2 linked regions of the Nothobranchius furzeri genome follow. Each later gene encodes a partner of the first gene's protein in a complex. Links are inferred from orthologs where the notes say so. Each region holds a gene or a part of one and is shown in the gene's direction. Other genes may lie near its edges. The genes, in order: ubl4a and bag6.

Evidence for each region.
Region 2: the proteins of ubl4a (region 1) and bag6 are in contact, whole or in part, in a crystal structure (PDB 4X86), measured with the Homo sapiens proteins. The link is inferred for Nothobranchius furzeri from reciprocal best matches to the Homo sapiens genes UBL4A and BAG6. Residues at the interface, in NP_055050.1 of Homo sapiens: Val95, Leu98, Ile99, Val102, Leu103, Arg105, His106, Phe107, Ser108, Asp111, Arg114, Val115, Gln118, Leu119, Asp122, Tyr123, Glu124, Ser126, Leu127, Ser128, Leu130, Ile135, Leu138, Arg141, Phe142; in NP_001092004.1 of Homo sapiens: Gly1052, Pro1053, Leu1055, Leu1057, Ala1060, Val1061, Ala1064, Ala1065, Ala1067, Ala1068, Ala1070, Arg1071, Pro1072, Leu1073, Thr1074, Ser1078, Leu1079, Asp1082, Leu1083, Glu1087, Val1088, Ser1091, Tyr1092, Gln1095, Leu1096, Asp1099, Ile1100, Arg1103, Leu1104.

Annotation. Positions count from the first base shown.
Region 1 is NC_091757.1:40,372,764-40,376,578, reverse strand, and holds part of ubl4a (ubiquitin-like protein 4A), read left to right. Parts: intron 1-325; coding exon 326-431; intron 432-512; coding exon 513-715; intron 716-3,815. UniProt on the Homo sapiens protein: As part of a cytosolic protein quality control complex, the BAG6/BAT3 complex, maintains misfolded and hydrophobic patches-containing proteins in a soluble state and participates in their proper delivery to the endoplasmic reticulum or alternatively can promote their sorting to the proteasome where they undergo degradation.
Region 2 is NC_091745.1:60,779,852-60,784,439, forward strand, and holds the start of bag6 (large proline-rich protein BAG6), read left to right. Parts: upstream 1-1,486; 5' UTR 1,487-1,612; intron 1,613-4,588. Other genes in the region: glrx3 (glutaredoxin 3), read right to left, coding at 490-1,461. UniProt on the Homo sapiens protein: ATP-independent molecular chaperone preventing the aggregation of misfolded and hydrophobic patches-containing proteins.

The DNA of each region.
Region 1 (3,815 bases):
GGTTGTTTTTATTAAAGCCCACCTCCTTATCTTATCTGTCAAAAGACTAAAACAATATCCATCACTTTTCTTTTTAATCTGCATCTGTTAGAATTATGATGTAGCACACACCCATTATAAGTCTTGCACCCAGAAAAGACTTCTGCACAAAGAAAAGTCTGTGCATGTGGCGCAGATAATTTTGGGGATTTCAGACTTCCCTGGAGATTGGATTCTGTGAGATCTATATCTGGGTAACAGACAGCAAGATAAAGGAGAGAGAAGACAAGGTGGCATGAAATATAAAGAGGCCTGTCGTTAAATCATTGTGTGGTTCATCTTGTAGGTTTCTGAAAATGACAAAGTCTCTTCAGTGAAGGAGCTTTTGTTCGAGCAGCTGAAGATACCTGTAAACCGGCAGCGGTTACTCTACAAAGGAAGATTGCTCGCAGGTAGAGTTGCTTGAGAAATTAATTTAGATATTTCCAACTACTGTAATAATATATATATATTATAACATTTCTTTCCTTTAGATGATCACAAACTGCGTCATTACTCCATTGGACCAGATGCTAAGTTGCACCTGATTGCCCGTCCTTTGGTAGACTGGAGTGGAGTTCCCAGCAGCAGCAGCAGCTGCAGCCCACAGGCAGGAGTGTGGCAAACTGTGTCCACTATACTAGCCAGACACTTCAGTCCAGCAGATGCAGCTAAAGTCTACGAGCAGCTTATGAAGGTATTAAAATACATCACCTGTTGGTTTTTAACATGGTAACCTGTCTATAGTAAATGTTAATCTATGGACAAGCAGGAGGATAACAGATATTAACAGTAGCATTAAATACAGGCTGAAAGGCTTCGCATTTAGATTACATTTTTAAGTGTGCATATTTTACGCTAACAGTGAGTGTGCATTATACTGAACTCTAGAGGGGACAGAAACTTTATTTATTGTTATTTCCGACTTTGTTTTGCGAGATCCCGACCAGGGCTGGACAATTTAAGGAAAAGATAATTACGTTGCCCAAATTTTTATTTGAGACTCGCCGAACGGCATTGAATTCACAGATAAAAAAGATGTGGGTTCAACTTTAATTTTGGAACAATTTTTCAAGCAAGGGAAGGGAATGATCTGAGCATGCAGGAGGACTGACCCATCATAAACCTTTGTCAGTTGTGCTGAAGAGAAAGGTACAGAACCAACTTGATCCACAGTTTTGGTAACACTTTACAATAAGGGTCCCTTTATTAAAGTTACTTAGTGCATTATTAAGTATTAATAAAGAAAGGTTCCCTTTATTAAAGTTACTGTTGTTGTTAAGCATTAAGTGTCCGGGCCACGGGGGTGTCTGCATAGTTGTTAATACCGTGTTGACCCGAATATAAGACGAGGTTTTTTTCATTGAAAATAATTTTTAAATGTGGGGTCGTCCTATATTCGGGCCAATACGGTACTTTGTTTACTAGTTTATTAATGTACTAATGTTAATAAAGGAACCCTTATTGTAAAGTGTTGCCCACGAGTTTCTTCAAATCAAGCTTTAGCAAAATGTGCTATAACATTTACAAACCTGACAGGAAATGACATCATACCATCAAAGCTAATATTCTAATAATGCAAGGATTAAAACTAAAGGTAAGAATTGTTTTTAAATGTTTTTTCTCATAAAAACACTCCTAAGACTGAACCCTGACACATTTTAAACATGTTCTATGATTTCCTGTAACTCTGCAGTGGTTTGTGGCATTAGAAAAATTCAAATTTTTTTTACAGAAGAAAAGTTTCACCATTAAAACTAGTTAGTGTTATTACGGTAAATCCCTTCCTGCAGTTGCAGGAAGTGGGCGATTCGTCTCACGATCGATGTCAAGTGGAGGAAAGAATAAGCAACAGATGACCACAGCCATAGATAAAATTGGGTGTAGCAGCTCCATTAAAAGGAAGAAAATTAGGAAAAATGACCAAAAGGGTCTCTTGTCAGCTCAAGCATCAGGACCCCACCCCCGCTGGCGCTCTCTGCTTCCACTGTTACGCTTCAAAACCCAGGGGAAACCCTGGATGTGTATTACAGTTGATACAACAGATCCTGGATCAGTTAGGAGTGCTGAGAACAAAAAAAACTGCTTTGACGATCACGTGACGGCTTTGTTTGAAATCGCAATTTGATGCTAGATGGTTCAGTCCTAATCCCGAATTTGTTTTGGGAGATCTCAAGTCTATTTATATAAAATTATCTTGGGATCCTGCTTCTTAGAATATGAAAAAAATATTTTTTTTTGTCTATGTCCCCTCTAGAGCTCAGTAGCATTGTCAGTATTCAATGTAGTTAACAGCATGTTTGTCCAGTAGCTGTTTAGTTTTTAACAAATCACACCCTCCTGTCTCGTTTTGCTCTTGCTCAGCGAGAAGGATAAGATAAGATAAGATAAGATAAGATGACCTTTATTAGTCCCACAAGTGGGAAATTTGTTTCGTTTACAGCCAAGCAAAGTAAAAGTAAAAGTTATGCTGAAGAGGGAGAAAAACATTAAAATACAATAAGACCGACCGCAATGAGATAAAATAAACTCAATACAATAGACAGTTTATACCTTAAGAATGGGTTAAAAAGTAATAAATAATAACCATACTAGATACAGCTAGAAATACAGAGTACACTTCAACCGACAGATTTGTTGTAAAGTCTGACAGCAGTGGGGAGGAAAGACCTACGGAATCTCTCTGTCCCACACCTTGGGTGCCGCAGTCTCCCACTAAAAGAGCTGCTCATAGCTGTCAAAGTCACCTGCATGGGATGGGAGATATTATCCAACATGGATGACAGTTTAGCTGTCATTCTCCTGTCACTCACCACCTCCACAGGGTCCAGGGGGCATCCTAGAACAGAACTGGCCCTGCGGATCAGTCTGTTCAGCCTCTTCCTATCCCCCGCAGTCATGCTGCTGCCCCAGCAGACCACACCATAAAAGATGGCCGAGGCCACCACAGAGTCATAAAAGGTCTTCAGGAGAGGGCCCACTACTCCAAATGACCTCAGTCTCCGTAGTAGGTACAGCCTACTCTGCCCTTTTCTATACAGGGCATCTGAATTATGAGTCCAGTCCAGTTTATTGTTCAGATGGACCCCAAGGTACCTGTAACTGTCCACAGTCTCAATGTCCATGCCCTGTATGCTCAGTGGTTGAAGCGAGGAATGCTTATGCCTACGAAAGTCTATCACCAGCTCCTTAGTTTTGCTGGCATTAATCTGTAGATAGTTCAGCTGGCACCAGTCCACAAAGTCCTGAGTCAGTCTCCTGTACTCCTTGTCATCCCCATCCTTGATGAGACCCACAATCGCAGAGTCATCCGAGAACTTCTGCAAGAAGCACTGATTTGAGTTATAGGAGAAGTCCGCAGTATAGATGGTAAAAAGGAACGGAGCCAGAACCGTTCCCTGGGGGGCCCCCGTGCTGCAGATGACACTATCCGACACACAGCCCTGAGCCCTCACATACTGTGGTCGGTCAGAAAGGTAGTCCAGAATCCAGGTAGCGAAGTGATGATCCACTCCAACGTTCACTAGTTTGTCCTTCAGAACCGAGGGAAGAATGGTATTGAAGGCACTGGAGAAGTCAAAAAACATGATCCTCACAGTACTCCCAACAGTCTCCAGGTGAGCGAGCGAGCGATGCAGGAGGTGGATGACCGCATCATCAGCACCAATGCCAGTTTGATAGGCAAACTGGAGCGGGTACAGTGAAGAGCCCACTAGGCGCCGAAGCCAAACCAGAACCAACCGCTCCAGAGTCTTCATAAGATGGGATGTTAGAGCCACCGGCCTGTAGCTGTTAAA
Region 2 (4,588 bases), on another chromosome or scaffold:
ATCACGTTTATCTTCAACATGTAGCTTCTCCTCATGAAAAATTCTTAGCCGATCTATGTTCTAAGTTTGTTTTATTTCTCAAGGAAACTGAAAAGACGGAACTTTCTTCTACATTTAATTTGTTAAATGATTGAGAAAAGCAAAAGGAAGCATCTTGATGTTTTTTTTTATTTACTCATGTTTTCGTGGAACAGGTGCCATAACAGAGGAAACACTTTTAACCCAAACATATCTGAAGAATGAGGATAAGAAAACAGAAGAGGAAAATCTGACCTAGAGTCAGCGGTTCCCAGTTTTATTTAATCAACAAATTGTTCCTGACACGTGACTTTCATGAATGAGCTAAACTACAACAATCAAAATAAAAACCAAGAGTGATTTTTATTCTCTGCAGCTCCATGTTCTAATCTGATAGTGATGTTTTGTTTGTTTGTGTCCCTTCCTGACCCCTCTTTAGATAAGATGCTGCCTGTTCCTGTCTGGATCCATCTACGACTCCCCCTTCAGCACTGCTGCCAGCTCCCCGCTCTCCTTCAGCTCCTTGACTATGTCCAAGCCTCCGATCAGCTCCCCTTTCACATACAGCTGGGGATAAGTGGGCCAGTTGGAGTAAGTCTTGAGCCCCTGACGGACCTCTTCATCCTGCAGGATATCAAAGGTGTCATAGTCCACCCCAGAGGCGTTTAAAATCTCCAGGATCTGCCTGCTGAAGCCGCACTTTGCAGCCTCCTTGTTGCCCTTCATGAACAGCATTACTGGACTCTGGTTGATGATGGTCTTCAGACGGTGATCCAAGTTCACGGCCTTGGGGCAGGCGTTCTCCAGCTCCCCTGACTCCGCCAGCTCCTTCACGATGTCCAGTCCCCCCACTAGCTCCCCGTTCACGTACAGCTGCGGGTATGTGGGCCAGTTGGAGTAGGTCTTCAGGCCCTGCCGGACCTCTTCATCGGACAGGATGTCGAAACTGCTGAACTGGATGCTGTGCTCCTTCAGCAGCGCCACTATCTGCCGGCTGAAGCCGCAGCGGGGCTCCTGTGGGGCGCCCTTCATGAACAGCATGCAGGGGGCCGCGTTAATCAGCTTCTTTAGCCGCTGGTTCAGGTCCTCTCCTCCCGATGACTCATTCGGGCTCCCGGCCACCGCCAACCTTTGAACCATCTTGGTCAACTCCGCCGCATGCGCCCCGTCCAGTCGGTCCACTTTCTCTCCCGCCTTAAAGAAAACGACCGTTGGCACCGAGGAGATTTCATACTTCTCCGAAACCTCCGGGAGCGTCTCCGCTTCTAGCTTCACGAACGTGGTGTGCGCGTGCTCCTTGGCCAGCACGGTCATCACCTCGTTCATCTGGCCGCACTGAGGAGCCCATGGAGCGTAGAAGTGGACCACGGTCAGTCGTTTTCCAGCTTTAGAGAGGATATCCTCAAACTGTTGTTGACTTGTCGCTTCCACGAGATTCGCCATCTTTTCTTCTCCTTGAGCTTTTTCCGCTGCCGATCTGACGTCACTTCCGTGTAGCCTAGTAGCACGAACCGGAGGTAAGAACTACCGGAAAGTTTTCTGTTACCGGGAGATAAAAACCAGCTGCGCGTCCCGGATAAGTTGCAACGACAAAGTAAGCATTAAATGAAACATCGTTTTGTAAATCCAACTTTCCAAATGTTTTTCTTTTCTTGTTACGCTCAGTTGCTTTAGCACGAGCTTAGCCATTTGACCAGTTAGCCGTATATATGCCGATGGTTGAAACTCAGATATTTCCAGGTTTATTGGCTCTTAGTAGTAACTCACTACTGCTAAACGTTAGACGTGTTGTTTGTTTAGTCGGGATTAAAATGCAAGAGGAATTTAGTGCAAGAGCTACGTTGTTCTGGTGTCTAGTTGTCGGGATGTAGCTTCGGTTGCTAAGGGGCTACCGTTAGCCTTTTAGGTTGTTGGTAAACATCTGTACATGACTTAAAATATTAATTGAACAGACTGTAAAACAAATTTCTGTATTCACATGTGAATTTTTCTAACTTTATGCTCAGCTTGTAATATTTTAGTGACGCAACAAAAACTCTCCGTAAAATTTTTAAAATGGGGTGTTTTTTAGCCTAGAAATCCAGACCAACCGTAGCAGTAGGGAGAAGTCTCATCCCTTTCCGGTCAGCTCATGGGTTCCCGGAAAAACGAAAAAATGAATGCAACTCAATGCGGCTAAAAGAGCTATTTTCTAATCCGCTTTGCCTTAGGCCCAGTGTCACACATATGTTGCACTGCAATTTAAACGAAAACTAATAATGGGTGTTTGGACCATGCAAGTGACATACTTTGAGATTTATCAGCTTGTAAAAGTTTGTAATTAGCATAACTACAAATTAGACATCAGCACGTCACATACAGTATATGACGTTACCACAGAATCTCTTCTCATCTAGAATAGCTGCTATTTACAAAATGGCCAGATTTATGGTGTTTTTTTTTCCTCCCGAAGGAAGGATTTTAAGTTGGCTAAACTTACAGCCATTTCTGTTTTTCTCCGTGGCTGGTTTGATGACGTCACTTTCGTGAAGCGCATTGTAAATGATAAATGACCCGCACTTGTATAGCACCTCTCAGAGTATGGACTCCAAAGCGCTTTACACTACAGTGTATCATTCATCCATTCACACACATTCACACAATGATGGTGATGAGCTACAATGTAGCCACAGCTGCCCTGGGGGGGGGGGGGGGGTTTGCACTGACAGAGGCGAGGCTGCCAAGCACAGGCGTCACCGGTCCTTCTGACCACCACCAGCAGGCAAGGTGGGTTAAGTGTCTTGCCCAAGGAATTCTCTGTTGGAGCCGGGATCGAACCTGCAACCTTCCGATTACTGGACAACCCACTCAACCTGTGGAGCTACTGCTGCCCCAATACTGTAGTCCTTATTTTCACACAAAACCTAAGTTTTTTATTTAAAGTTTATTATATTTCTTAGCTCATTTGAACAGTACGACTGGTAGAACATTGCTTGCATTTTGCAAAGAAATCACATTAAATATTTAAAAACATATATTCTTAATGAAATAAAAGTATGTAAATGTCAGAGGTCACCACCAAACCCACTGTAGAATAGATGCAAATCTGCAGCATGCAAGGACCATGTTTGAGGGGGTGGGGTGATTTTAGTTGTCACCTTTTTCTCAGCTTCTGAGTTTGCAGGTATGAGAAAATAGATGCAACTAATACAATTATTTTTTGTTCTTCTATACCAGCTATTTGCTTGTGTTTTTGTACCATGTGGCTTTACGTACCATTGCTACAGCTTTGCTATCCCAGATGTGGCATAACCTGCCAGTTGATTAAGTGAAAAACAAAGCAATGCAGTATTTCAAAACAATGAGTGTTTAACAGTTGATTAGTTCATTGCGATAATTTTTATATTTAGAAGGTCTTAAAAAGTCTTAAATTTAATTTTGAGATCCCTGCAAGATCAACTGTCACATCTTAGGAACAATTGACCCTGTTCCAGTTCCTACATTACCACCCACCCTGAGCTCCCTCAATACTGTTTCATACTCCGAGCTGAGTAAGCCAGTTGCGAGGCAGAAGCCATCTGGCTCTCCACTTGATGTTCTACCGCCTCGTCTCTGGAAGGCTGCCTTTCCGTGCCTTGGCCCTTCACTTGGTCAGATTATCAATGGGAGCCTCAGCACAGGTGTGGTCCCAGCTGCTTTGAAAGCAGCAGTTATTCGGCCGACCCTGAAGAAACCTGGTGCTGATGTCTCTGTGATAGAAAATTACAGGCCTATCTCTACCCTGCCCTTTACATCTAAACTGCTTGAGAAAGTCGTTTATCAGCAGCTGGTCTCACATTTAGCTGACTCTGATCTGTTTGAGGTTTTCCAATCAGGGTTCAGGTCTGGCCATAGCACAGAGTCTGCTCTACTGAGGGTCCTAAATGACATCTATCTATCACTAGATCAGGGAACATCTGTGCTGCTTCTGTTATTAGACCTGACAGCAGCCTTCGACACAGTTGACCACGCGATTCTACTCGATCGCTTGGAACGATGGGTTGGGATCAAAGGGTCAGCTCTGGACTGGTTTAGATCGTATCTCCAAAACAGGACATTCTGTGTTAAACTGGGTGATGTTTTTTCTTCTTGGGAGGGGCTCCGGTGGGGGGTCCCGCAGGGGTCGATCCTTGGTCCACTTTTGTTTGCCATTTATCTGCTACCTCTGGGGTCAATCTTTCGTAAACATGGCCTATCATTCCATCTGTATGCTGACGATTGCCAGATTTACTCTCCATTGTGTCAGGAGAAAGGTCACTCTATTCAGTCCTTTGTCTCCTGTGTTAATGAGGTGAAGTCTTGGCTAATGTCCAACTATCTACATCTGAATGAGGGAAAGACAGAGCTCATTGTTTTTCACCCCAACAGCAGGAATGTGGATCGTTATGCTGATCTTGGCCCTCTTTCTCCATACTCAAAACCAGTTGTTACCATTTTGGGGGTGAAACTTGATGTAGGACTTAAATTTGATGCTCACATCAATTCTGTGATCCGGTCCAGTTTCTTTCACCTGAGACGCCTTGCTAAAATCAAGCATATGCTGTCGAGAGCC